4 linked regions of the Diceros bicornis minor genome follow. The protein of the gene in region 1 interacts with the protein of each later gene in a pairwise test. Links are inferred from orthologs where the notes say so. Each region holds a gene or a part of one and is shown in the gene's direction. Other genes may lie near its edges.

Region 1 (6,889 bases):
ATCCCTATTTTATAAATGAGGAAACTGAGGCTCAGAGCGGCTAAGGGCTTGTCTAAGGTTACAGTGTCAAGTAAGTGGCAGACGGGAGTTAAACCTAGGACGCCGGCTCCAGAGTCTGTTCTCTCAACTAACTCCTACTCTTCATTCACTCTAATCTCCTTTGTTTGCTCTAAATCAGAGATGGTAAATGGATTTTATATCATTCTGAAGCGATTTCCAAGAACTCTGTGCTGAGAGGGATTTGGAGACCTTACACCCAGGTCCTGTGGGAAAGGATGCCACGTTAGTGGTGGCCACCTCCACGCCAGGCATTTCCCACACAGTGTTCTAAACCACAGAAAAGCAAAACCATGCATTCTGCAATCTTACAAAATGTGTCCTTAAAAAAGCAGCCTGGATAAATAACTCTTCTGAACGATGAAAACAATCCTGAAAGTTTCAAAAGCTAGTTTTATTGCAATGCAAGACATTTACCTTTCGTCATCTTCAAAGATTGGACTGTCATCTCCAGATGCCATGGTTGGCAAAATAGTCTTTAATCCAATTAGCAGCCAGGAAAGAAAAAAGCAGAATTGCAGCAAAGAAAGAAGAGAGCAACAAAGATGACATCTGCAAAGGGTTGTTCTAACGTTGCAATCCATTTCGTAAATTGCATGTAGTTTCTGATGAAACAGCTTTTACATACAACAGAATTGCAATCTCTAATTTTCAGGGAGAGAAGTTAAATCATACAAATTGGCCAATCATATTTTTCCCTAGTTTGGATTTATAATTTCCCAAAACTAGAGAATAAACTCTAGTTCATTTCAAGTATTACACCACACCAGAGCCATAAGAGACAAGTCCTCTGGGTCCCATGCTTCTCAAATTGAGGCACAAGAAACCCCAAGGGTATGAGGCAGTGGGTCAGGGAATACATAAAACTCCAGGATAAACAGAATGCATTTTCTGGAGGAACCAACGTTACAGGGTGGTAACAAATTTAAAATGCAATCTTTATTCTAAATTTCGGAAGGCTATATTATGGAGGAATATATAATTTAAAAAATTTTTTTACTTCAAAGAAATGTTGATTTTGTAGGAAGCAGCCAAGGATATGCTAGTTTGCTTTCTAAGAGCAAGCTTAATTTACCCACCTACTCAAGCCCACTTAATTTACTAGTGCCAGTAAGGAATCCACAGAAGTTACGTGGTTTGCTTAGGTCACTAGCAGGGCCCAAGCCAGAACTAGAGCCCAGGACTCCTGTGCAATTAATTAAACAGTAACTGGGCTGTAGTGCTAATTAAATTTTACTAAAATCAGAAGCACACATGTACTCAGATGCTTAGGAAACTCTCCACATTTGAAGATTTGGGATTAACAGGTGTACCCCTGCCAAACCTATTGGAAAATAAGCTCAACCGTTTTTTGCTCACAAGATCTACTCTAGCCTTCTCCCTCTAGATGCCCAAGGGTGTTCTCGCCTTGTTAAAAAGGAGAGATTGCCAACTTTCTTAAACTGGAAACAGCTAGAAGCCACAAACGGTTTTTAAAAAGATGAACAGATTAGCACCCATGAAAGCAACCCAGTGGGCAAAGAAAAGCTAAGAATTTTAGAATAAAAACTAGGTAAAGATTCAAAACACTTTGTACCTAAAATAAATCCCTCTTTTTTTACTAGCACCTTACAAATGTGTGGATTTTTCTAGTCTTAAGAAGCCCTAGGATATCTTCTATGAAGGTGGAGGGTATCCTGCAACTGTGAAAGCAAAGAGAAAACAGAGCAAAAGAGCAAGCCAAACAGCATAATATAAACTTGGATAAGGCATCCTTTGTAAATCAGAGTGGACTTAGGGATATTATTCAAATTTTGCTCTACAACTTTTAGAGATTCTAGAAAGTTCAGTAATGCAGCATTCAAACTTGAAAGAATTGCCCCGTTTTCCATTATAAGGAACTTCAAATATTACTAAATCACATTAAGATAAGGCATGGTAGCGTCTTAATTACTATAACTTTTCATATGGAAGTGTAAAAGACAACACAACAAATTAGAAGGGAGTTAGAAATCAAGATCACATCTCTTTTTTTTTAATTTTCTCTAAACTATCAACATTCATTCATACATCCAACATTTATTTATGGAGTATCCACGTCAGGTGTTAAAAACGTTTTGGAAATAGACAGTGGTGATGGTTGCACAACATTCTGAATGTACTTAATGCCAACGAACTGTACACTTAAAAATGGTTAAAATGGCAGTTTTATGTTATATATGTTTTAGCACAGCTTAAAAAATTCATACTGTAATATACAAAAAACGTTTCATGCTTTAAAAAAAGAATTTCATGCTTTAAATAGGTAAATTGTATGGTATGTGAATTATACCTCAACAAAGTTGCTTAAAAAAAAAAAAAGACCTAGTTGCCCCGCTGGTTGTGTTTCTTAGAATGTACTTACACCTATAACGAAGAGGTGATCACATCTGTCCTTGTCCCCCGATTTCTACTTTACTCATGTAAACGGGAAATATCTGTCACACACAGATATCCAAGTTACAAACTGGACTTAATAAACATGTCATATTCTGAGGTCATCGAGCACGCTAAGTTATTGGTCACTTCTGTGCCAGGCATTGAGCTGGGCACTAAGCTCAGAGTGAGGGACTCTGGAGAGACCAAAAGATAATTACAGCACAGCCATGGCGGTGTCCTTGTAAAGGGGAGCAGTAGAGGACAGAGTGGCCCATAGAGCAAGGACCCTAGCCCTGCCAAATGTGTGGCAAGGCCAGGGAAAGCTTCGGTTTAAAACTTGGGAGAAAGGAATTAATCCACTGTCATTTTTAAACTCCTATACATACACTTAACGTTCAAGATCATGCGACCAAACTGGAAAACAGGGACAAAGAAAACTTCCCTCTATTTTAGCACAAAGTTTTAAAAATGTAAATGAAAAGGATGGAAAACAAATTCCATTTATTTTGATTGACGGGGACAATGTCACTCATCTGAAACTTCTTACATGTCTTCAAAGAAAGCTTTTTGAGTATCTAGTGAGGTACCCATCACCATAATCTTTTAAAATCCCTTCCCTAGCAACTCAACACCCATATTTCAGAGTGCGACTTAAACATTAACACGTTTCCACTGTTCATCTAACCCCAGCTTGAATGTTGCCTTAACTTAGGTTTAACCGTACTGGGGACTGCAGTGGTTTGTCCAAGCTGAACGCAAGTCAGTTTTTAAAATTACTAACAAGCTCACAGTTCCCTTTTCAGCAAAGCTCCCGGTAAGGCCAGCCACAGGTAGGTCCCCCTTCAACAAACGGGTGCTGACACTGCACGCCCGGTCCCCCGTGAAGCACTGGGACCTCCAGCAAAGTCGGTCAGGAAGCTCCTAGAGCCAGGTATTCCCAAACGCTAGTGGAGGTACAAAAACGAGAAAAACTCTTCTGAGGACCATTTTGCAACCTATAGCACAAGCTTTATGAGGGATTAACTCTAAACAAATAATCATGCCCCCAACAGCAGAAGGAACAGTGCTCAATGGAATTGCTTTTTGTAAAAGCTAAAAACTGAAAACCACCTTTATGTTCACCATCAAGGAGGGACTCCGTTAAGTAAATCACAGTCCTTCACTCAACAAACTGAACGCCCGGCCCGGGCCGGCGCCGGCAGGGTGCGGCGGTCAGGCGGGCACACAAGCCCGCAGTCTAGCGCGGCCACCAAAAACGACTTGGAACACTTACAGCCGCGGGCAGATGCACGTGCTGGATTAGTAAGAGAAAGAAGCCAAGTTACAGCACTTTATAATCCAAGTTCTGCAAAAATAGCCTGCTCACGCTGACAGGGAAAAAGGGGCTGGAAAGAAACGCAGCGCAGTGTAACCCGGTGTCTCCGGGGAGCAGGGGGTCGGCTCCCGGGCTTCCTTCCCGGGCTTTTCTGCGCCGCTTTTCCACAGCGACAGGTACTAATCGTATGGTTGGGCACGAGGCCGAGGCCGGGGCGGCCGGTCGCAAGGCCTGGCCGGGGAGGGGCGCCCCGCTGCCCCCGCCCGCGGCCGGCCGACGGGAGCCGCGGGAACTCGGCCGGCGCGGGCGCGGGCGCGGGCCTCACCGCAGGGTCCCGGGGCCGCGCACACCCCGCCGCCCGGAGAAGGCCGCCCAGGCCGCGCGCGGGGGCTGCCAGGGGCGCCCCCCGCGCCCCCCGGGGGCGGTCTCACCTGCACGCCGCGGCCGCGGGCGGCTCCGGCCCCGCAATGCAGGGGCAGACTCGGCGCCGTAGGCCGCGGGGCCTTGCTCCCCTCGCCGAGAGCGGCAGCCGCTCCGCGCAAGCTACAGCCCAGCGCGCCGGCTCTTTGTCGCGCTCCCGGGCCCCGGCGGTGCCCGGCGCAGGCCGCCGCCGCCGCTGCCGCCTCGCCACTCGGCCGCGCCAGCCCCGCCCGCTGCCTCCGCGGAGGCCCGGCCTCACCCCACCCCCACCCCGGAAACATAGTCCCGCACCGCGTCCTGGCGTCCTGCCGGCAGACGTCCCTAGGAACCAGCCGAGCGCCGGCGCTGGGCGGGACGCTGGGGACACCAGGTGGGCAGACACAGCCCCCGGGCCTGCTCTGAAGCCTCGGAGCAGGCAAACCTGATCCGGCATTCGCTGCTTGCAACCTGTTGATGGCTTCTGGTTACTCCTTTAGTTTAGAGACCAAAGCTCCTTGTGGGCGTGAGGCCCCGTGTACGATGCAGCCCCTGCCCAGCCGGCTTCATTTAGATCCTCACATGGTGCGAGCTCCTTCTCACCCCAGGGCCTCTGCAAGTGCTCTTCCCTCTGCCTGGACACGCCTCCCTGCCTCTTCCCTTAGTTACCCTCCATTTTTGTTGTCGAGATTGTTCCTGAAATATTTCTTAAGGAAAACTATCCCGGCCCCTCAGACTTGCAGCGCCTGGAATTCTCTTAGTTCCTTTCAGGGTGTGCAATCATTCGTGTAACTTTTGATTAATGTGTAACTTAATAGTAGACTGAGGTATGTGAAGGCAGGCACCGTGGCCGCTTGGCTCCCTCTCTTCCATCTCCCACGTCTGCACAGTGCCGGCTCATAGGAGGCTCTGATAAATTATTGAATGAAGGACAGTGTCCCCTGCACAGAGGGAGGAAGGTTGTTGAGTGGGCCATCTGAGGAAAGAGGGAGTGGTCCCCGTGGAGAGTGGGCCGAGCAACAAAACAGAGACATGTGAAGGGATTCTGGAGGGGTTCTGAGGGCCCAGGGGATCTGGGGGCATAGGGGCATCCAGGCCCTATTGTGCAGTTGCTTCCTGCAGCTTGATGTTGAGGTAAAGAAGGATTATTTCACCTTGGCAATCGGTAGGGTGGGTGTGGTTTCTAGATGCTGAGCAAGTGTGTGAGAGAAGGGAGAGTTGAGAGATAACAGGGAACAATCTATTGATTAGGTTGTTAGACTGGTTAGTCTGCAAAGTAATAATGACTGAATTCTTCAGCAAGTTATGTTACAGGAATTCTGCTTAGTGAGCCCTGATTTCTTGTTTGCTACCCTGTATTGAAAGCTCCCCAAAGATGAAGACTTTTCATATTTGTTTTTTTCTTCTGCACTGGTGTCTTGAACAGAGAGTTTTCAATAAATACTTGTTGAAAGAATGAATTAGAGGGGAAAAGTAAAAGGCCCCAGAGTGGAAATTTCCAGAGATAGGACAAGGCTAGCTGAAGACACCTCCCTAATTCCTTTTTCCTAGTCCTTATTTCTTCAGAAAAACAATCCTGAGTTGTTGGGCTAGGACCAGGAAACCCTGGTTGGGCGGCAGCTCAAAGATATTGTTCAATGAAGAATCATATTTTCTTACAAAACTTCAGGAGTCGGGATATCTTTTACAAGACCAATAAGGTGTAATTTGTTGAATGCTTGCTATGTGCCTTATATATGATGGCCTGTGGTGCTCACTAGAGCCCAGTGATAATATTTACACCCATTTTACAGAGAGACCCAGAGCCCTTCAGAAGTTGCAGGGCTAGCATGTGGAAGCGGGCCTGTGGCATTTGAAAAGTTCATGGTAACAGGGCCTATTATTAGAAAAGTATTAATTGTGCTTGAAGAAAAATCTGGGCCCTGTCTTTGAGACCTGGGGAATCCCTCTGCCCAGGGACCCCAGAGTGCAGTGGAGTTCACCCTACCCCTCGGTGCCTATTCTGCACCCAGAATAGGCAAGGCAGTCTGATTCCTCAGCTGGCTTGTTCTGTGCCACTATTTCCTCTTTGGGTATAGTTTCTGGGGTACCTGAAGTTAAGGAACATGCTAGTTTGGGCTATATTGTCCACCTGCTCATTCCCTGGGCCTAGGACACTGGAGACAGGAATAGTCACTTGTTACTAGACAGGATTGTTATGGAAAGAAAGAAATTCTGAAAAAAGCACTGTGAAACTTGAGTATAAAACATACTCTTCCAGGCTGATCCTGCTTTTTTGTGTGTGTGTGAGGAAGATTGTCCCTAAGCTAACATCTGTGCCAATCTTCCTCTATCTTGTATGTGGGACACCACCACAGCATGACTTGATGAGGGGTGTGAGGTCTGCCTCCCAGTATCTGAACCCACCAACTCTGGGCCGCCAAAGCAGAGTACACCACTGGGCTGCCCCTGATCCTGCTTTTGACTTTATTTTCAGTCAGATTGTTTCCTTGTTTCCTGGCAAGTACCCTAGATGCTGTTCTAACCTCTGAAACTGCCTCTCACCGACTTACCCATAGACATCAGTGTTTTATTTTAAGAGAACAGCTAAAAATGCTTTCATTCACATTAGTCCGTGTTTTCGTTGGGCCTCCGTTTGAAAAGGGAACTGTTAATGGGTTAACTGATATTCTGAACTTGCTTTTTAAACAGCATGAATAGAAATCAAAATAAAAGGAAGAAGTT
Region 2 (7,427 bases), on another chromosome or scaffold:
GGATGTGACATTGTGGCAGGAGGGCAGGGGGGCAGGTTTCTGGCTCAGGAGAACACTAAAATGGAGTAAGAGAAGGGTGCAGGTTTGGGGGAAGTTGTGGAGCCCTCCCCAGCACCACTTCTGTCTCCCCTACGAGGTCTGGCTGGGGGCATTGGCTCTCCTGTCCCCCTTGGAGGGTCTCAGCCCTGTGCCTGAGGCCCAGGCAGAGCCTGCTCAGGGCATCAGGGATCCCCTTTCTGTTCCAAAAGTGAGAAATGTGAAGGCTTGGTGTTTGGCGCCACCTTGTGGCCTGTTCAAGTTCTTATGCTTCGTCTCCTCAGAGCTCTGAGGGTGCTGGAGGATTCTGAGCACCAAAGCCTTCCTCTTCTTGACTCCAGAGGGACTTGTTACAGGGAGAAGGGACACGGGGCCCCACCACAGGCAGAGACGAGAACTGGACTAGCAGCCGATAGACATGCCTCCAAAGAGCTGATCCCACCTCTTATTTTCTGAACTGTGGCCTTGGGTGTCCCCCATCCTAACTCCAGTTTCCCAGCTGAACCAGGAAAATCGACCTCTCCTGCCTCCCTCTCCAGGAAGTGGAGGGCCTCCCTGGAGCAGTGAGTGGGACCCCAAAACGGCACACCCAAGAGTCTTGACTCCCATGAGGAGCCGGTGGCATAGAGGGGGCCAAGTCTGGGCCAGCTGGTCTGGACCAGAGAACCCAGACTGGGGTAGTCGGATCAGGCCCTTCCAGGACCCCTCCCTGAGCGCCCAGACCCCCCGGCCCCCAGGGCCCAGCTCCATCCCTCTCTGGGGGCAGGGGATCAGGGTGGGGGTGCAGAGGCCCTTCTCTTCCGTTCCAGCCAGCCATCTGCATGCATAGGAGGGAAGACGGATACTTAGATGACAAAACTACAAAGAAAAATAAAAGCGACTACCATAAAAGTCCAGGGACGGAGGGAGGACACACAACAGGGGGTGGGGGCTGCTTCTGGGGTCCCAGTAATGTGCTGTCTCTTCACCCAGGTGATGGGTACACGGCTGTTGGCTTTACACGTATTCATTATACGAGACTTGATGTTTTCGCCATTTTTCTGCCAGTGATAAAATTCACAACGAAGAAAAAGGTCTAATCACGTCTCACACTGCTTAAAACTCTCCCGCTGTTTCCGTTGCTTCCCTCTGTAGAAGGGTCAGGAGGCACCCACGGATTAGAGGAGGTAGAACTGAGAGGTTTGGCAGACGGTGGGCGGGGTGAGAGGTGGGGGCATGAAGGGAGGGGGTGTTAAAGCTGATGACCGGGGTTTCACTGCTTTGAAGAATGAGATGCTTAGGCCAGAGCCTCCAGACGGATCCCCCCGCCACCCCTTGGCCCCCAAACTAACCTCCTAATGGACTTCATTAAATTGCAGCTCTAACAACCCCACGGTCCTCTCAAAACTCAGGCTTCCCTCTGCCCTCAGGATAAATTCTAAGCTCCTTCCCCGGTCAAGGGAGCCCTGCAGCCCCTACCTCTTGCCACCCCGGCCCCGCCCTCTCCATCTCACTCAGCCTGGGCAGTCCCCTTGCAGATCTCTCAATCAGAAAACCTCTTCCCCTCGCTTTGTCCTCCTAACTCCTCAGCTAAAACATGATATGCTGAGGGCAGCCTACCCTCACCCCCAAATCAAGTGGGGTTCCCCAACCCCCTTACACCCCCTCGTCGCCCCTAGCACTTCGCATTCGTGGCATCTTGCAGAGTTTAATGTCTGCTGCTTCCATCACACTGACAGCTCCATGAGGTCCAGGAAACCGGTGGAAGCTTTGCTGTTGGACAGGGAGCCCCCGGGGCGGGGCAGGGCTGGAGCTCCTCCTTCACTCCTCCATCCTCCTCCCCAGCAGAGGCGAGGACGGAGCTGGACCCCAAAAAGCCTCAGCTCGGAACAACTGTGGTTTTTCCTCCTTACGAGGAGGAGCAGGAGCCCCTGCGCCCACCGCCCCTCCGCTGGGCACCTGCTCACCTCAGCGCATCCTCCGTGCTGCTCCCTCACTTCACTCCCTGCAGGGCAGAGGGAGAGCCTTCCCATTCAGGTTTCTTCCTCCTCCTATCGTTGCCATGGAGACTGATCCTGTGCACCTGGCCCGCCAGTTATGGTTCTGAGGGAAGGGGGTGTGAAGCCCCAAGCAGGGAGGGCCTTGTCTCTGGTTCATTCACTCATTCATTCAGGCTGTGTAATCTAAGGTTAAGAATTCAGGTTTTCGAGTCAGACATCCAAGATTTAAGATCCAGCTCTGACTCTCCATCCCAACTTTGGTAAGACACTTGACCCACCTGAATCTCAGTTGTGTCATCTGTAATTTGTCATAGAGTCACCGTGAGGATTAAGGAAGAATAAAGGAATTCACTTATCGCACACGTGTTAAGGGCTCAACCAACTTAAGCTATCGTATTGACGCCAGTGAGGTGCCAGGCACTGCTAGAGGCACGGAGACAAGGCCTTGACGCAATTGTAACAAGGCAACCCAATTTGAGAGACTTTTTTTCTAAGTCTTTCCCACACTTTCAACTTAGTTTTCATAAAACAACTCTTGCTTTCCCCCTTATGTCTCGTTGGTAGAGGACCTGAACTACATTCTTTAATTCCAATAACAAATATAACTGGCACAAACAGGGCTGGGAACAAACACCTCTGATGCTTGGGAAATAACTTAATGGGGGAAAAGGGGGAAGAGGCAGACCAGAGCAGGGTTGTTCAAACTGCAGCTCACACCTCAGTAGGGAGCCATTGGGAGCTGTCACCAGCATGTTAAAAAAAATGAAGTAGATAATAAAATATCAAAGCCCATCACACAGTTTCAGGAAAGCTTGTTTCATTAAACATATGTGTGTGTGCTGGGCATCTTACACGGGTACTGTTCAATGTTGCCTTGAACATTCCTGTGCGAGAAGACCCTCCACACACGCATTCACACACGCACACACACACACGCACGTACATTCTTTGCTTGGTCAACTCATTCTCTGGATCTCAGCTTTAAATGACGTAATTTTTGTGTCATAATATTCTTTGATTAATTGATTATTATTTGACTCGTTAATGCCGGTCTCTCCCCACACACTAGATTTGAGCTCCGTGGGGGTAAGGAATGCGTCTGTTTGTTGACCTTTGGTCCATTTTTAGCACAGTGCTTCATCTGTCAGACACCAGTAGATATTTGGAAAGACATGAGAGGGGACACGGGGAGGGAGGAGGAGGGTTGGGAGAGACCAGGGTGACGTCGATTGGGGCGTGTGGGTTTAAGGTGCCTACAGCCCCAGGAGGAGATGGGCATGAGGGGACAGGCACAGGCTAAGGAAGGGCAATGTGGTGTGGTGTGGTGTGGTGGTGCAGCACGTGGACGCTGGTGCCAGACTGACAGAGTTTGAATCCTTGGCCCTGCTTTGTACTAACTAAGGGAGATTGGGACCCAACCGAAGCTCTCTCTGCCTCAGTCTCCTCCTCTCCTCTAGGCTGCAATGAGGGTCAGATGAGTTCATAATATACAGTGCTTGGGACACAGCTTCCTGGTGCACAGTGAGCGCCCCATACATGCTCATCACACTCACCATCCCGTGGGGGGTCACTGAGGCCAGAGAGTGGGTGAGATCACCCAGAGATAAAGAAGAGGCTAAGGACAGAGCTTCTAGGAGCCCTTCAGCTGAGACATCAGCAAGAGAGTGGCCAGAGAGGTGAGGGGGCGGGTTAAACCAGGTGAGGATGGGGACAGTGGCCAGTGCTGCTGTGAGGTCAGGTAAAAGAGGGAGATGGTGGCGGGAGATTTCTAGAGGAAGGCATTCGACTGGAGAGAGAGGAGCGTCAGTGGGGCACACCGGGTGTGGGGAGGGGGCTCATTGGAGGAGGGCTGGGTGATGTACTCTGGTCTGTTCTCTCTTCCAGGATGGGATTTCCTGGGGGCAGAGTTTGGTGGAGTCTGGGGAACACAGGAGGGCAGTGCCTCGTCTCCGGAAGGCAGAGAGAAGTTTGAAACAAAACCTCCACGGGAACCCAGGGCTCCGAGCTCCCAGCTGCCGGCTGTTTCTGACGGATAATCTGAGACTCTGGACAGGATGGGAGGGTCCCCAGGAGCCCGGGCCCGTGTCTCTGCCCCGCCCAGTCCGACCAGCCTGAACCCTTTGCATTTCGAGGAGGGGCCGCAGTGGCCTGGGGCCGAGCGTCCGCGAGGGGGCGCGGGGGCTGGGCCGGCGAGGGGCGCGGTCGGGACCCGCAGTTACAAAGGAGAAGCATCTCGTCGCGCCAAGCCTGGCGCGGTCCTGAGGGATGAATGGGAACGGCCGGGCCAATCCGCGGGCAGGATTCACAGCCGCGAGAGCAGGGAGCCAATCGGATCCCGGGCGCGGCAGCGATGCGGGAACGGAGCCAATCAGCTGTGACGACAGGACCAGGGGCGGATCCGCGCGGAGTTTCAAATCGGCCGGAGTGGGCGAGGAGCAGCTGTGCCGGGCGTCCGGTCGACGTTGGGGGCTGTTGGGTGAGTGCGGGCCGGGCCGTAGTGGGGCTTCTGTTCTGAAGGGACCGGGGCGGAGCGGGTAGGATGGGCACGGCACGTGGGCGTCTGGGTATTGCAAGGTGGAAATCGGGGTGTCTGGTCAGTATGCGGGGTCCTGGCGGGATCGCGTTGGGTCAGCGCGAGTTTGTGAAAGAGCCGCTGATGGTGCCCTGGCCAAGTGCTGAGGCTCGGGAGGGCCGGTCCTGACTCTGCCTCCCTCCCTGAGGCAGGAAGCGGAAAGCAGGCTGGGATGGAAGGACAGCTGTTTTAGACACTTGCAGCAAGGGACTGCAGGAGATGCTGACCGGCCTTGTACAGCCTCTGCCCTCTTCTGGGCCTCGCTGCCCTCGCCTTCTAGGAAGCATCCTCCTTCCTATTCCCACAGTTGCCGAGTGCCCTCACCCCCGGCCTCGGCCATCCACCCCACCCCATGGGCCTCCGTCCCATCTCTTCCCCTGTACCCAGGGTCTCTGTGGAGCCTGGGCATGGGGGATGCCTTGCTGACCTGCCTTTTGACCTCCTTCCCAAGGTCTGGTGGACAGAATAGACTCTTGGCCAGGCAGATGGCCTCTCGGTGGCCAAGCGTGGGGGTCTCCTTGCGCCGAAGATCTCTCCAGGACCAGGAGCAGCTGGAGGAGAGTGAGATGCTGCAGCCTGCAGTCAGCCATCCGGAGACCTCCAGTGGGGCCCTGGGCTCTCTGTGCAGACAGTTCCAAAGGAGGCTGCCTCTGAGAGCAGTCAGCCTCAACCTGGGGGTGGGCCCCTCCTGGAAACGCCTGGAAGCCCCAGAGCCAGGGCAGCAGGGTCTCCAGGCTGCGGCCCGCTCAGCTAAGAACGCCTTGGGTGCCGTGTCCCAGGTAATGCTGACAGCGCGAACCATCAATTTATGGAGGGCTTCCTCGGTGCTGACAGCTGCTGCCCTCAAGGAGCCCCAAAGAATACAGAGTCCAAGAGGACAGGGACATTGATGTTTTCATTGCTGTGTCCCAGCACCCCAAATAATTCCTGGCACTCAACAAATAGTTGAATGAGTGAAGGAAAACAGTGTCATGGAGGAAATAGATCCTCACAGTACAAGGTGATAAGAGCTGTATTGTGATAGGAAATTGCAAGGAGTGGCTGATGGGGGGTGACACCAAAAACAAGCTCGGTGGGTGAAGCCTTCCCAGAGGAGGTGATTCCGCAGAATTCACCCACAAAAGAGGAAGAATGAGGAATGTATGAGGCAGGTGCAATAGTGTGAGTCCAGAGCCAGAAATGAAGGAGAACTGACAGGCGCTTAGTCTGGGTGTGGCCAGAGAACAGAGAGCAAGCTGGTGCAAGAGAGAGGGATCTGGTGTGCTGAAGGTGTTAGACTCTCCCAAGAGTGATAGGGAGCCATGGGAACCAGTGGGAAGAATTTTCAACAGGGTGGGAATAGGGTCCAATTAGCATATTAGAATTTGTTCTTTAGCTACTCGATGGAAAAGGAGTTAGAAGAAGATTCCCCCTAAGGGGGCCTGGGGCCCTAGCCTTACAGAGGAGTGAACAACTTTAAGAGCTACTCAGAAGGTAGATGTGAGAAGATTTGGTATCAGATGAGATGTGTGGGCAAGAAGATATCACATATGTTGGGTGTGAGGTACCTGTGGGCCTTCAAAGTGGGTGTGTCTTCAAACCCGGAGCTGGAGATGTGGAAAGGTGTCCCCTAGAAAGGACAGAGGCCATGAGAGTGACTAGACCTCCAAGGAGAGAACTGGGGGGAGGGAGGAATCTCCTTTGTGTCTGATTGAGAATCTCAAGATTTGGGAGAGGGAAGCTGTTTCTGAACCCTTTGCAGAAAGGTCTCTGAGCCAAATGTTAGTCCTTGTCTGGAAGAGCCCTGTGATTGTTTTATACCCCAGGGATCAGAGAAATGAAATGAGGTAGGCTGCCCAAGGTCACCAAAGTTACTCACCGAAGGTAACTCGAGTCTCTAACCTCCAGACTCTGGTTTGCCGAGGCAAAGACAGCCTGGCTGAGGAAGAGCCTTCACAGCCGTGCCCCAGCTGGAGTGAAAGGCCCATGAGTTAGGGCTTGATCCTGTGGGCAGTGAGAGCCATAGAAGGGTTTTGAGCTGTTGAGTGTCATGGTCAGAGCTGCCCTTGAGAAGGATCTCTGCGCACAAATGTGGAGGATGGATAAAGTGAGTGAGACCAGAGGCAGGGAGACCAATTATCTCATGGTATCCTGGGGGGTCAGCCTGGTCTTCCCTGGGCCTTGCCTTTGATTCTTTGGGTCAACGTGTGTCCCACAACAGGGGCTGGGCTTAGACAAATGCAGGCTCCACGTCCAAGAATGGTTCTGCTGTGACCACTGCTCTCACACCCAGCTCTGAGCTGGGTCCCTGCCATGCACCCATTTCACACAGACTCATCCACATCCCTCACTCCTGAGACTAAAAGCTGCCTGTACTTGCAGGATAGCTGGTGGGCCAAGTGGGTAGAGGTACAGCCTGGAGACTCGGGGTAGCTCCTCCTTGGCTTGTCTGTGCTCACCTTTCCGTGTACCTGTCACAGAGAATCCAGGAGTCCTGCCAAAGTGGTACCAAGTGGCTGGTGGAAACCCAGGTGAAAGCCAGGAGGAGGAAGAGAGGGACACAGAAGGGCAGTAGCCCCCCAGCTCGCAGCCTGAGCCAGAGGAGCACCCGGCTGTCTGGAGCTGCCCCTGCCCACTCAACCCTGGACCCCTGGGAGAGGGAGCATCACGGCCTCTCCGCCCAGATAGGCCCACGTGGCCACCCCCTGCGACGGGCCAGGAGGGAGGCTGCCTTCCGGAGCCCCTACTCCTCGACAGAGCCCCTCTGCTCCCCCAGGTATGAGGAAAATGCCCTGCCCCAAAATACCAACTGGGCCCCAGGGGCTTCTGAGCCCCTTCTGGGGCTACCTGGAGCCAGAGGC
Region 3 (6,838 bases), on another chromosome or scaffold:
ATTTGCTTCCTGATTTTGTATAAATTATAACAACCTAAATATCCAAACATAGGTGATTGGTTAAATATAGTATGTCATGGGTTGTAATATTTTTATATTCATAGACATGGAGGAGGAACTGTTGTTAAGAAGGGATAAAAGCAAGATACTAAACTATATATGGTGAGATTTGGGAAGACTATTAGGTAATTTTATGCCTAGAAACCCAGAAATTCCCAAATACTGTCTTCCTCCTGCCACAGCTCTTTCCTGTAAGGTCTTGAAGGAAAATACATGTGGACAGGGAAATGGCGAATGTCAAATAAGATGCCACTTTATTATGTGTTGTGCTTGTTCCTTTGTGCCCAGTGCAAAGCTCTCTGGTGAGTTTAAGGGGCCTCCACTTCACGCTAATTTCAAACCAAAATCTCAGGATCTAATTACCCTGTAACCAGCTGCATGGTGCAGAAGAGGTAAGAGCATGATGTCACCTGTAAGAAAAAATAAGCCACATTTGAGAGTGTGACCTCCTCCCAAGTCAGGGTGGAGGGTGGGCCTAGGTCATTTACCCACTCTACTCATGGAAGTGAAAGCAACAGCTTATATAGATGTCTTTTCAGGGTGAGGCACTCCTCTCCTCCCCTTCCTCTTCTTCCCCATCCCCACTCCCTCCCCCCCTCCTCCAGCCCTCTCCCTTCCTTCCCTCCTCTACTTTCCCTTCCTCCTCCCTCACACCCTTTTCTCCTTCCACCATCCTCCCCTTTCCTTCTCCTCACCCTCCCTCCCTCCTTCTTCCCTCTCCCTCCCCACTTTCTCTTCTCCCACCCTTTTCCCCTTTCCTTCCCCCTCCCTCCTCCTCTTCTCTTCCTCCCCCATCCCATTTCTCTCCAATCACTTGAATGTGTATCCTCCAAAGAAGAGCTAAGTTCTGGGAAATATATCAGAATGTTAATAATAGTTACATTTTTTAAAATTTCCCTTTTCCTCAGTATTTTCTACTTTTTCTATAATAGGCATATTTTTTATAATTAGGAGAAAATGCTAGATTCTCATAGCATGATACACTTTATTTGACATTTATTTATTTTAGGTTGTAATAGAAGAACATGAAAAAAATCAAATGATGTAAAGTGATCATTTTCAATGAAAGGCAAAGTAGAACATATACAAAGAAAATATGGTTAGTAACTTTAGTTTACAATTACACAGTATAAGATGAGGAAACATTTTTTTAAATACTGGGTCATATTAACACCTCGGTGGTAAACAATAACTTCATTATGATTAAATTTATAGACCAGTATGTCAAATAAATAAGCACACAGTTGTATCATATATGGTTTTGATGGACATTCTTAAATGTATGCTAATCTTTTTTCAAGTAATTAAATTTTACAATAGACTGTTCTAGTTGGTATAATCACTGTATTCCTATAGCAAAGTAATGAAGGCACAGCTAGTGCAAGCAGATTTAAACCCTTAGTTTTCTGGGCTGGAAAAAGAAAAAAAAAACACTTGCATTGATACTTCAGGAACTTTTTTTTCAAATATTTGTCTCAGTTAACAATTCTGACAGTTTTCACAGCTATATTCTGGTAGGAACATGACAAAAAGACTTCACAAAAATCAAAACTCTGTAGCACCAAACTAACATGCTTTAGATAATTGACAGCAGTTTACATATTTTGAAGAATATTACACTACAACAGGCGAGATAGAATAAATTGATACTTAAGACAATTTTTTAGACTACCAAGAAAATATGAAAACACCAGACTGTAAGGAATACTAGTGTTGAGGTTATGAGGCAGGTTTTTTTGTTTGTTTGTTTTTTTCCAACGCTATATAAACCTGCTTCACTTCTGCTTGAAGTTTTGAGATTCTTGAATATTCTTTCAGGCAGCCTCTTTTTTATTTTCGACATTTTCTGTTTCTATAATCTTTGCCATCATCATAGGTACCGTTGACTTCTCCTGTATAGTAATAGATTGATTTCAGGATGACGTTATCATGTAAAATTTGACCAATTTCAAAGTCCTTGTCAAGGATAGCATCTTCTCGTGGTTCCAGCTTTCCGATTTGGGGAATCTCAGGAGGGCTAAAGAAATTGAAAAATGATGCATTAGGAACCACTCTTGGCTGGATTTTAATTTCTCCAGTAGCAGTTGTGCGACTCTGAGTTGTTGTCATGGTAACATCCTTTCCTCTTCTCCAATCTATCTTACAGCCTTTGCAGTCTTGGATTTCCCATCCCCAAGAGAAGAAGGGATCATCGTGATCTGGTTTTGACTTTATTATATATGTCTTGGTCAGCATCTCATCTCTGAAGTATGGGTTGGGTAGAAAATAAAATTCAAATGTGTAACTTATAGGCTGGCCAGGTTTTGAGAACTTCAGGCTAACATCTGACAAAAACTTCAGAATAGGCTCATCATACTTCTGAATCATGGGCCCAAGCTTGTCAACATTCTTTAAAACAGTCAGCCAGTAGTCAGGAATGCCTTTAGGATCTTCTTTTTTAGGCTTTCCCTTACGAGCTCTTTTAAGATTCACTCTTTCTTTAGGCCTGACCTCAGGAACTCTTTTAGAAGCCTCTTTTACTCCAGCCCTTGCCTTAGCCTCTACTGCCTTAGGCTGTCCTTTATCTTCTGCCTTTGCCTGGGGGACTTCTTTAGCATCTTCTTTTACTTCAGGCTTTGCCTCCAGCAAATCTTTAGACTCTGCTTTTTCTTCAGCCTTTGCCTCAGGAATTTCGTTAGGTACCTCATTTTCTTCAGCCTTTACCTCAAGTTTTTCTTTAGGGTCGTCTTCTTCCTCACCTTCTAAGGCAGGCATTTCACTAGGGCTGTCTTCCTGCACCTCCTCATCACTGCTGAACACCTCATCCTCTGAATTCCATTCACATTCTTCTTCTGTAGGTTCATATTCTGCATTGATGATTTGAAATCGCCGATCATATAGAGGCTTATTGAGTTCAGCATATTTTCGTTCGAGATCGTGAATTGCCTTTAAGAACAGAGCGTCTACCTTGTCACATTCATCTTGAATATTTCTGAGCGCCTGCACACGATTTCTAACTGACTGAGGCAGCCGGTCCACGAAATTTTTACCCGACGGAGCCCGCCGCGCCCTTCTGGAAGGCCCAGGTACCCTCTTCTTTCTATATAAGCGGCTGCGGCTACTGCTGCTGCCACTGCTGCTGTAACTAGTGCTTCTGCTCGAGCTACTGCTGTCAGATTCTTCCCCAGAATCGCTAGACGAGCTAGCCAGCATCTCTTCAGCAACCCCCTGGGCGGCAGGTCCCGAGACCATGTTAAGATCCGCTTCTGCCATTTTGCAAGCCAGTAAACCTCTAAAGGTGGTGACTACTGCTGAGACCGCGCGCCCAGAGATGGGCAGAAAATGACTCACGGATGCTTGGGTGGCGGCAGCGGCCCGGGCTGAGAAGGTGGCAGCGGCGAAGGCAGCAGCAGCGTGGGGCGGGACTGGGCTGCGGCGATCGCGCGGAGGTGACAGCGGCAGTGGAAGCCTGCGCGAGAGCGGCGGTGGCAAGGCCTCTCCCGGCTGCCGCCGCGGTGGACAGAGGCGTGCCGCAGCCGAATAGCGCTGTGTGAGACCCCAAGTTCTCTTCACGGTTTAGATCGGCAGCCCCCTCCCCTTGCAGTCAGACCTCCTGTTAGTTTAGTTCCCAGGGTGCCTTTAGCTCGCGCCTCATTTGCTGGGCAAGTTTGATTGACAGTCCCTAAGCCCAATGAATGACCAAACGCACCGCCCGCCTTCCAGGCTCCGCCCATCTTCCCAGACGCTCCTTGGTAGCTGAGGCACACACCCCTGGAAGACGATTTTTCCCCTTTAAATTCTACCTTTATAGTTTTATAATTCAAAAAAAAAAAGCTTAGATATGAGGTAAAAATACTAGCCATAGTTCCTAACAAGGGAAGAGGAGTATCTTTCTCCCATCCGCTCATCCTAAATTCCCGTTTGGTTTATCAGGGGCCTCTTGACAAAAATCTGTTTTTAAAAAATTGGATGAAAGTACTCCAAGTGGCATCATTGGGTAGTGTGATTATGGATGATTTTTTTTAATCTATTTTATCTAAATATTCTATGAGCATGTATTTTTACACTGGAAAAAAGGAGAGTCGTTTATTGGCAAAGGAGGGAGGGGCTAGAAAGCAGGCATGTTGCATTCCACGTAGCAGTTTTAATAAGTGCTGTCTGTGATGTTTGGCAAGCCTGCTTTATATCCATCTACAAGGTTTTCGAGCCCATGTTGCCGTGAGTCAGTTGCACCATTTTTACTATATTTCTCTCTTTAAGCTGGCGTATAATGTACCTCAACCTTGCTGCTGACTTGCCAGTTAGCCCTTCAAACCTTGTAGATAAAATAAAAGGGTATTCAAATGTTAGGTAGTATTGTTTAAAAGCAGAAGGTTTGCTCTATACTTTTGTGCAGCAGTTTTCAATTCCACAAACAGCAGAATGGGAGGGGAATTTGTGCTGATAAACGTGCATCCTCTGTCAATATATACTTCACAATGTCATCTACCACCAATTTCCTTCTAACATTGTAAAATTCTAGCCATATTAAAAGTATGATTTACAAGTCCAGAAATATGTGAATAAACTTTTGCAAAATGAAATTTAAAAACAGGTATCTGTTATTTTTATTTACAGGATTCTTTTCTGCTACAGAACAACTCCCTTGGTACATCCAAAAAGACCAGTGTTTACCTTTCATTAAAAGGTAAGGAACATATTTAGCCCATTTTTATGAATGACAAGAATTACCTACCTGTATTTGAATAAAAATTCACAGAATATAGTCTTTTAAAGACTTAATTGGAAGATATCTTGATATTTCTATGGAAGCAGAAAAATCCACGGAGGTGATTTGACATACTAATGTAGAAAATAGCCTAATTAATCACATTCACTATCTAAACCTGCTCATAGAATACAAGCAGTAAATTAAAATATGAATTATTTTATTTTAAATGAGGAAAATGTTAGATTAACTTTTATGTTACTTTTTTATTGTAGGATTTGTGCTTTGTCGTTTCATCATATATTTTATAAAAAATTAGGAAGCACTAGTCTTCTATTTTGTAAATGGATCTACTTTTATTGTTTATTTCTGATTGTCAAAGTATATAAGCATTTTAAAGAAAAAATACAATATAGAAAATTCCAATGATAGTAAAAATACACAATCTTAACAACCAAACTATAGCCATTGTTAGCATTTTGATGCATTTCCTTCCAGAAATTTCTTTGTACATATACACACCTGCCTATTTATATACACTGTTTTATCTATGTGACATCATATTATGTTTTGTAATCTGCTCATTTAATTTATCAATTAATTGTGGCTATATTTTCATGGTAAATAATCAACATCTTATTTTAAAATAGATACATATTCCATGGAAATATTTGCCTTAATTTATTTAACCAGATTCCTGTTATAGGGCACCTATTTCCCACACTCTCTCTCCACTAACATACATATATTTTCCTGTTATAAGAAAATTAGCCCTGGATATGTACTGTATGCACTTGTGAAAATTACTCACAGGATGAATTCCTAGAAAGGAGAGGGCTGGAATAAATTGTGTGCTCATTTTACTCTTTGATACATATTGCCAAACTTCTCTCCAGAAAAGTTATCACAATTTACAGTCCCATCAACAATGAATGAGTTCATTTATTTAGTCATTCAGCTAATATATTCCTGTGCTTGCCATGTGCCAAGCATATGTGGTAGAGGATAGCAATAGAATGGTGAATAAAACTTACTAGGTGCATATCTTTTCATTTCATAATTTAAATCAAAACATATACTGTGAAAATGATTTAAATCAATAGAGTTATGACATAAATATTGTTCTACAACTTATTTTCATTTAAAATGATGGACATTTTTTTTAATGAATGATCTTACATTTTTATAGCACTTTAATGGTTTCATATACATGTTAAATTTTGTACCATCAGGAATTAGTATTTTGGAGTAAGAAATGAATTAGGGATCCGTATTTTTAAAAAATATATGTTTTTATTAGCAAATAAAATCTAATAAGTAAAAATTATAAAAAATAAAGGTCTGCTCTCTGTTTCTATAGATTAGTTTGTATTTTCTAGGATGTTATATAAATGGAATCATGTAATATACCCCTCTTTTTACTTGTCTTCTTTCACTTAGCATAATTATTTTGAGATTCATCCATGTTGTTGTGTGCATGGAGAGTCATTTTCCTGTTTTGTTACTGAGTAGTTATCCATTACTTGGAAATACCGCAATTTGTTGATAGGCATTTGTGTTTCGAGTTTTGGGCTACTGTGAATAAAGCTTCTATGTTCATTTGTATATGTCTTTGTATGGACATGTGTTTTCATTTGTTGGTGTGTATATTTAACTTTTTAAGAAATTAGCTGTTTTCCAAAGTGGTTGTACAATTTTGTATTCTCACCAGCAGTGTCAATACTAGGTGTGGTCACTGTTTTTAAATTTAGCCATTTTAATAGGTATGTAGTAGTATCTCATTATGGTTTTACTTTTCATTTTCCTAATGACTAATGATGTTGAACATCTTTTTGTGTACTGATTTACCATCCACATATCTTCTTTGGTGAAGTGTCTATTCATATTTTGCCCATGTTTCTATTAGGTTGTTGTCTTACTATTGAGTTTTGAGAATTCTTTATATACTCTGGATACAAGTGTTTTATCAGATATAAGCTCTGTGAATATTTTCTCCCAATCCGTGGATTTTCTTTTCATCCTCTTAATAGTGCCTTTCATGGTTTTTCAGAGAGCAGAAGTTTGTGATTTTGATGAAGTCCAATTTATCAT
Region 4 (7,810 bases), on another chromosome or scaffold:
GATGCTCCTACTTAAGAAAGCGCCACGTTGCAGATCCACAGTGGCACTTCTTATGTTTTTTTAGGGCTCTGGAGCAAACCTCTTGTTTACAAAGATGAATTCCCAGAAGTCCTGGGGTAGACTGCAGTGGGCTTATGAGGACACCAAGTCCTCTGTTGGCAATCCCCAGAAGCCAGGCCCATGGCCATCCCTCAGACATCTTTACCATCATGTGTGTCTCGAGTTGGTCCCAGAGAGGAGATGTACCTTGAAGTGGCCTAGATGCCCGTAGCTAAGGAAGCCAGCAGGGTTCTGGTACCCAGGGGCGACTGAGCCCACAGATGGTTCCAGGCTTGTCCTGCAGCGCCCCCTCCTGGAGGTAGGCAGCATCACCTCCCAGGATCTGTTTCCCAAATCTCAGGATCTTCCTTGCATCAAAAGTAAATATAAGTTTTTCTAAATCAGTGAAAATGCAGTTAGCTTTTCCTCTCTGATACAGCAGCCAGAAAAGAATTTCCAAAATACCTGTTTCTTATTTTTCAACCCCCAACCAAATCTAGGCCTCAGACAATGGCAGCAGTTTCCTCCCTGGCCCCAGTCTCTCCCTTGGTCTGCCCTTCACAGTGCTGCCTAAACGACCTCTCCAAAATGTCAGGCCAAGATCCCTCCTTGCCTACACCCCTCCTGATCACTCCAGACTCGCCCAACCTGGTCTCCTGATGGCCATGCCTCTGCTTCAGCCACGCTAACTGGCCCTCCTGCACGGGGCTGATCTCTTTCACACTAGCAAGGCTTTGTCCCTGGCATATCTTCTGCCTGGAGTCTCAACTCTCAACTCTGTCCTTCAGGAGTCAGCTGGAGGGTTGCCTCTTTACTACTTCTGCCCTAGGCAAAGTGGCAGTCACCCCCATCACTTGTGGTCCCACTGCCTTGGTCCTTGGCTCTTCCGTGGCACCCGTCTCCCTGTATCGTGCTGTCTCAGCATTTCCCCCTTAGAGTGAGGTTCTAGGAGCAGTAATGGTAACTTGTTCCTTTCTGTGGCTTCTGTCAGCTACCCTGCTTAGATAAGCCTGTCAGGTAATAGGACTCAGGAAATGTAGACCAGTTCTTTCTAATATGGTTACTGTGTATTTTCTTTATCACTTGTTGAAAGATAGGGACAGAGCTTCCTTATCAGTGCTGGCCTGGCCCACACCTCCAGCCCTGGAGACCACACAGAGAAAGCAGATGCTTGGCCTTCTTGGGTCAGGCCCAGGGTCCAAGCAAGAGAGCCCCCAGGTCCACAGATCTGCAGAGCTCTGGAAAGGGCAGGGCCTCCCTGGGGCCCAGGGTGTAGTCTCATGCAAGGCCACTTCTCCAGGCCTCTGCTTCCTCAGTCATAGTGAGGAGCTCAAGCTAGTTATCTGAAGAGCCTTCTACCTCTGAAAAATCCCAGAGAATCCATGCTCATCCCTGTGGACAGTATCTCCTGGGGCAGTCAAATCACTTTCCAAGGAAAAGTGTGGGCAGAAAGAAGAAATATCCTGACTCCATGGCTTACCCTGTGGCCTTGCCATGGGGCCGGTGACCCCTAAAGGAGGGAGCATCCAAATGACCCCTAACGGAGGGAGCAGCTTGGGATAATGCCCATTTTCTTCTTACTTCTTCCATCTGGGCCTGCCCACCCCATCCCTTCTGATGATCTTGCCAGGCCATTATTCCGGGGGCCCCATACATGGTTCTGGACTTTGGATGGCCTCAGCCTTTCAGATCCTGACCTGTCCCTCTCTGCAGCTTCCTCAGCTCCCCACCTTGGTCTCCTTATCTTGATGCCTTTTATGGGGGCCCTCTGCTAGGTGATACAATGTGGTGATGTGTGCCCTTGAGTTCAGTCTAATCCTTCAAGGTGACACCCAGGATTTTTGCTGGAACATTTGTGTAGATGAGATACAGGAGGAAAAGCAGGTTGGAGAGAGAAGAAATTATTCATTTAATTTGGAATTCCCTGTGTTTAAAGTGTCTGAGGGACATGTAGGAAAATCAGGAGGCAGCAGGATATGAGAGTTTCCAAAATGGCCAGCACTAGCTGCCTCTTCCCAGAGACCCCTGAGGTCAAAAAGCAGTAGTCATCTGGTGGCTTGGCCTCAGGGCTCCAGGGAGAACATACACCTCTACCACCACCCCCTGCCTGTCAGGAAAAAGGCACCATTGCCTCTGTCGCCAGGGGCCACTCTGGGGGCAAAGTCTGGTGCAGTTGTGGTCTGGCAATAAGTGGAAAGCATTCCAAAGCTGCCACTCTTGGAGCAGACAAGTGAACTCTGCCACTCTAGAGGGTGGATCCCAAGTGTTGGTCTCCTTGAGGTTGGACCAAATGCAGGCCCCTTCCCTGGGAGATGAAGCAAGACCAAGCACCTGCTTCCTATGATCTGACAGTCCCTTTCCTTTCTCTGCCCCAAGTTTCTCCTTGTCACCTCCCTCTCCATCCCCACTGTTCTCCTGTCTAACCTTCAGGTTCATCTGAGGAGCCTTTAAATGCACAGAACCGGGCCCCACCTGTGCAGATTCTGATTCAGTTAGATGTGGGGTAGTGCCCAGGAATCTATATTTTTGTCAAATTCCTGGGCAATCCAGATGACCAGTCAGGCTTCAAACCGTGCACTGGGGAATCCTCCACCCTTCTTCCCAGCCTCTCCCTCTTCAGGCAGCTTATTTGGGGAATCATAGTCTGAGAAAAGGAAAACGTTTATTTTCAGCAAGTCCAAGGTCCCAAGTGGGGGCAGAGGCCAAATTCCCCCTTCCACCTGAGGGCCTAGGCCCATAGGCTGCTGCTCTGGTTCAGGCTTGGGAGGAGGGGAGCCACGAGTGGGGCGGGACAGTCACTTGTACTGAGGAGAGAGTGGGGGTACAAGTGGAGCCATACAGATACTTAGCATCTTGTCAATGTCCACTTGAGTTGACTTATCCACCTCAGCCTTGAGGCAGCCGCTGACCCCCAAGCTGAGCAAACCCCCAGGCTCCTCTCCAGCTTCCTTTCCCAGGGGAACCAGAGCATGGGTGGGGAACACAAACGTATTGGGGCAGGGCAAAGTAAGGCCTGAGCCCAGCTCACCTGCCACATGTAGCAAGGCCTGCAGTTGCTCCACACCTGCCTCCTCAGGGACCGGGGTCAGCTCCAACTCAGGCTCCACCTCGGCCTCCACCTCCCTGTCTCCCTCCCCTGCCTGGTTCAGCTCAGGGTTGCAATAGTTGATGTACTGGTACAGGGGCCGCAGGCGCTGGGCCTTTCCTGCAAGGACCCAGGGCAGGGCAGGGGCTAGAGTGCCAAGCCGTGCCATGTCAAGGGTCCAGCAGGCAGGGGGAAAGAGGAAGGCCCGGGGACTGCCACTCACGCTCCAGCCCCAAAGTCTCTGAGGGTGCAGACACTGTGCTGGCCACAGCTGGGAGCACTGGGGCTCCCAGACTCTTGCGTTTCTTGGCTTTTTTGTGCTGTTTGGCAGACAGTGACGGCTCACTCTGGCTACTCTCTGGCTCCTCCCTCTGCAGCGGCAGCCCCTGTGGCAGCTCAGTTTCAGCCCTAGGATGGGCTTGGTGACTAGGCCCTGGGAGGCTGGGGGATAGGAGGACCGAGGAGCCAGCCTTCAGCCTTGACTCCTATGTCCTGAGCCTAGGGAATAGCCCTGCCTGCCCACCACCCTGGGACCCGATTCTTGTCCCTTTCCTGGTCAGTGAGGCCCCGGGCTGGTCAGAGGCTGAGAGTTCATGTGAGCTCAGTCCCCTTCAAGGCCTTGAGACTACCTCTCAGGATGGTCCCTACACCAGGGTTCTTGAAGGACAGAAGGGGTGAGGAGTGATGGTGGCAGGGCATAAGGATGCACCCTGCAGGGGTGCAGGATGGATTTAGGAATCCTACTGGATTGTGAGTTGTCGTCCCCCCAGCCCCGCCTCCAGCTCTGCAGCTCCTTCCCTCTGAAAGCCCCCTCACTTGACTGGCTTCCTCTTCGGACCATGACTGAGCCTCACAATGGAGGCCATAGGCCTGGGGCCTCTCTCCTCTAGTGCCTCCACCTCTGGCTTGAGCCTCTCTTCTTCCAGCTTGAGTCGTTCCTGCTGGAGCTCTGGCTCTGACACTGATCCTGCTGGATACTTGTCTGCACCCTGGGTCCGGCAGGCCTCATGGGCTGGCACCAGGCACTGTACTCCCATCACTGGACACTAGAGGTGACACATAGGTAACTAGTTATCATGGCCAGGCAAAGGATACAGGGATCAGTCATTAGACACCTGACATCAGACACCAAATGCGAATGAAGGGCACCAGCCCATGACCCTCCCAGCCTATGAAGCCTGTCCTGGCAGTTAGGGGGTCATCGCACAGAGTTTGGCCTCCTACAGCGCTGCGGCCAAGTGTTTGAAGGCTAGAGACACCTCACCTCAGAGCTCTGAGCGCGGCCACCTAGCGCCTCCGCGAGCTGTGCTGGCTCCACGGCCGTCCCCTCCTGGGCCCCTGGCCGCCTCTGAGCCCCTGATGAGGCCATGGCTGCGCGGGGTCAGCGCATCCTCGACGGTTGCTTGGTCGGCGGGGGGCGGGCCCCGAGGGGCCGGACTGGTGGACCCTGCGCTGACCTTGGAGATCGGCGGAGATCGGCCGGTAGGCGAGAGCCAGGGAAGGGCTACTAGCGGCCGCTCTGCCCCACCCTCAGCAGGAACTACAAGCCCCAGAGGGCTTTGCGCCAGGGGCATTGGCCCCTGACCTCAGGGACGGAAACTATTGTTGCCTGGCAACAGCAAACCCGTCCGGTTGCAGCGGCGGGTGGCAAAACGGCTCGGGTGAGCCCCCTGCCCAGGTGTTGCGGGGGAGGGGCCGCGAACCGGGCAGGGAAGTGGGCTGGAAGCCGAGGCAGCGAGGGCAGGCCGGGGTCGGGAGGCAGGGCGGGGGCCGGGAGAGAATGGAGGGCACGGCCGGGATCAGGGGCCCGGTCCAGGGAGGAGGCATGGGGCTTGAGGACAGGGTTCTGGGGCCGGAGATGCGCAGCCCGGCAGGCCTCGGTCCACCGTTGCAGGGCGACGACGGCGGCATGTGCGAGGGCCCGTCCCGCATCTCGGGGCCCATCCCGCCAGACCCTACGCTCTGCCCTGACTACTACCGGCGGCCGTCCTCAGGTGAGTTGGTGGGTGCCGCGGCCAGGCGAGGCTCGAGCGAGGTTCCCGCCCCGCTCCACCACTGAGCCCCGCACTCCACCCCGTCCGGCCCCTCAGCCCAAGGGCGCCTTGAGGGAAACGCGCTGAAGCTGAACCTGTTGACTTCGGACCCGGACCAGGATGCCACCCCTCCCCGCGGCCCCCGCATGAGCCCCGGAGCCCGAGAGATTCTGGAGCGTGGCCGGCGTGCCGTAGGGGCCGTGTTGCTGCAATTCGGGGATATCTCCGTAGGCCCAGGCGCCTCTCCCAAGAGTAAGTTCTGGGCAGAAGGGGCAGAGAGGCGAGTCTGAGGTCAAAAGCTGAGATCAAAAGGGGGGGCTCCTCCTTCCTGGACCTGGGCTCAGACTTTGCCTCTCGGAGTCTTAGTTTCCCCAACTATAAAAGAAGGAGAAAATGCACTACCTCTTCTCAGGAGAGGACTGAATGAGTCATTCCCTGGGAAACCCTAGCTCAGCTTCATGGATTCAAGCATCAATGAAACGTTGTTTGCTGAGTGTCTACTGTGTGCCAGGCCCTATAGGTGCTAGGAAGACAAGGTTGAAGACAAGCATGGGCCATCATCGAGTCAAGGTGGGAGACAATAAACAAGTGAAGAGATGAATATGATATACAAGATGATTAATGGTATACGTCACAATAAAAATGTAGAAAATAATCAAGGATGGAAGAAGATTACTATATCAGGAAGGGAACAAGGTGATGAGGTGGAATATGTGTATAGGATCTAAGTTGGATGGAGAGGTCAGAGAGATGTTTCTGTAGGAGGGCAGGGTGTGGGCCTGTGTGTGAACTGGTATGAGTTGGATTGCCTGGGCTGTATGTAGGGAAGATCCTGGCAACATCTTTTCCGCAGGGAAGGACCCTAAAGACCATGAGAAGGAGAACCTGAGGCGGATCAGAGAGATCCAAAGGCGCTTCCGTGAGCAGGAGTGCAGCCGGGAGCAGGGCCAGCCCAGGCCCCTGAAGGCTCTGTGGCGCTCGCCCAAATATGACAAAGTGGAGTCCCGGGTCAAGGCCCAGCTGCAGGTACCTGCCTCAGGGAGCCAGAAGTATTGTCTATCTTTTTTTTTTTGGTGAAGAAGATCAGCCCTGAGCTAACATCTGTCGCCAATCCTCCTCTTTTTGCTGAGGAAGACTGGCCCTGGGCTAACATCCATGCCCATCTTCCTCCACTTTATATGGGATGCCGCCACAGCATGGCTTGACAAGCGGTGCATTGGTGCGTGCCCGGGATCCAAACCCCGGGCTGCCGCAGCGGAGCGCACACACTTAACCGCTACGCCACCAGGCCGGCCCCGGTATTGTCTATTTTGTTGCCCAACAGGCAGTTATACCCTATCTGAGTTATGGGGAGAGAGGAAAATCACAGGGGACTAATGTACCAGAGGAGTAAGAGATAGCTGGTTCTATTTCAGGGTGGGGCTGGCGGCTTTCTCAGAAGTGATGATGGCTGGGTGAGGGGCAAGTAGAAATTAGGCAAGGGGAGAATGGAAGAGAACATTCTATAGAGCTAGAACCTCACAGATAGAAGTCCTAAGACCAGAGAGAGTGTGGCCCGTGGGGAGGCTGTGTACAATTCACTGTGAGGGGAGAAGAGCACGAGGTTAGGCTAAGTCAGCTAAACCCACATCATAAAGGGCCATATAATCCACTTCTCAACTTTTATTTCTTTAATTTTTTTTGTGAGGAAGATCAGCCCTGAGCTAACATCCATGCCAATCCTCCTCTTTTTTTTTTCCCCTTTTCTCCCCAAAGCCTCAGTAGATAGTTGTACGTCACAGTTGCACATCCCCCTAGTTGCTGTATGTGGGATGCAGCCTCAGCATGGCCGGACAAGCGGTGCGTCGGTGCGCGCCTGGATCCGAACCTGGGCCGCCAGTAGCGGAGCGCGCGCACTTAACCGCTAAGACACGGGGCCGGCCCCTCAACCTTTATTTCTAAGGGCAGTGGGAAGGGCAGGGACAGGGTTATGGTGGTGGGATTCTGTCTTGGGTAGATAGTGGCACCGTTTCTCTACCCAGTGGTCTCAGAAGAAGGAGCAGGATTGAGAGAAAAAACAATAAGGTCATATGTTGTTCTGTTGAAGCTGAAGCATTTGTGGGACTCCCAGGGGGTAGGAGTGTGTCCAGAAAGCAGATGGAGAGTCAGGTCTGGATCTTGGAAGTGAAATCCAAGTGTTATTGAGGATCAGGCCGAGGACAATGAGATCAGGGAAGTGACCCTGGATTTGAGGGCTTGGAGGCCAGCTATCAGTGACCTTGGTGGGGACAGAGTCTGGAAGCTTGGCTAGGAAGGAGAGAAAAAGAGATTGGTAACTGGAGCCAGGAATGGAGGTAGAAGGAGGGGTAGTTTGTTGTTTTCTTAAAGATGTGAAAGACACATATGTTTAAATGCTGATGAGAAGTGTTCCTTCAAGAGGGAGGAGACCCATAGGGCTGGGATAGAGAAAGATCCTGAGAGGCAGAAACGACAGAGTCATGGTCTTCTGGCTTGAGACCCTGACCTCAGCCTAAATGTTCCCTCTGCTATGTCCTGCCCTCCAGAACCCCAGCCCTGCCTCTGGGACAGAGCCTGCCCACTTCCTACGGGCACATTCCCGCTGTGGCCCTGGGCTCCCACCACCCCGTGTCCCCAGTCCCCAGCTAACCCCACC

Evidence for each region.
Region 2: the proteins of CEP70 (region 1) and PIMREG interact in binary tests that used the Homo sapiens proteins (3 or more experiments, as listed by UniProt). The two-hybrid records come from large-scale screens. The link is inferred for Diceros bicornis minor from reciprocal best matches to the Homo sapiens genes CEP70 and PIMREG.
Region 3: the proteins of CEP70 (region 1) and FAM133A interact in binary tests that used the Homo sapiens proteins (3 or more experiments, as listed by UniProt). The two-hybrid records come from large-scale screens. The link is inferred for Diceros bicornis minor from reciprocal best matches to the Homo sapiens genes CEP70 and FAM133A.
Region 4: the proteins of CEP70 (region 1) and ENKD1 interact in binary tests that used the Homo sapiens proteins (3 or more experiments, as listed by UniProt). The link is inferred for Diceros bicornis minor from reciprocal best matches to the Homo sapiens genes CEP70 and ENKD1.

The regions. Positions count from the first base shown.
Region 1 is NC_080741.1:14,632,302-14,639,190, forward strand, and holds the start of CEP70 (centrosomal protein of 70 kDa), read left to right. Parts: upstream 1-3,872; 5' UTR 3,873-3,945; intron 3,946-4,200; exon of another isoform or gene 4,201-4,363; intron 4,364-4,480; exon of another isoform or gene 4,481-4,709; intron 4,710-6,889. Other genes in the region: FAIM (fas apoptotic inhibitory molecule 1), read right to left, coding at 475-641.
Region 2 is NC_080757.1:12,900,557-12,907,983, forward strand, and holds the start of PIMREG (protein PIMREG), read left to right. Parts: upstream 1-4,415; 5' UTR 4,416-4,491; intron 4,492-5,038; 5' UTR 5,039-5,072; coding exon 5,073-5,366; intron 5,367-7,046; coding exon 7,047-7,342; intron 7,343-7,427. UniProt on the Homo sapiens protein: During mitosis, may play a role in the control of metaphase-to-anaphase transition.
Region 3 is NC_080781.1:87,219,374-87,226,211, forward strand, and holds the start of FAM133A (protein FAM133A), read left to right. Parts: upstream 1-3,833; 5' UTR 3,834-3,885; intron 3,886-4,202; exon of another isoform or gene 4,203-4,257; intron 4,258-4,656; 5' UTR 4,657-4,726; intron 4,727-6,838. Other genes in the region: NAP1L3 (nucleosome assembly protein 1-like 3), read right to left, coding at 1,891-3,312.
Region 4 is NC_080771.1:19,462,163-19,469,972, reverse strand, and holds the start of ENKD1 (enkurin domain-containing protein 1), read left to right. Parts: upstream 1-4,792; 5' UTR 4,793-4,904; coding exon 4,905-5,118; intron 5,119-5,214; coding exon 5,215-5,409; intron 5,410-6,010; coding exon 6,011-6,183; intron 6,184-7,700; coding exon 7,701-7,810. Other genes in the region: C32H16orf86 (uncharacterized protein C16orf86 homolog), read right to left, coding at 2,835-3,244, 3,348-3,565, 3,773-3,781, 3,941-4,170, 4,389-4,493. UniProt on the Homo sapiens protein: Microtubule-binding protein which regulates microtubule organization and stability. Promotes the stability of astral microtubules and facilitates the proper orientation of the mitotic spindle.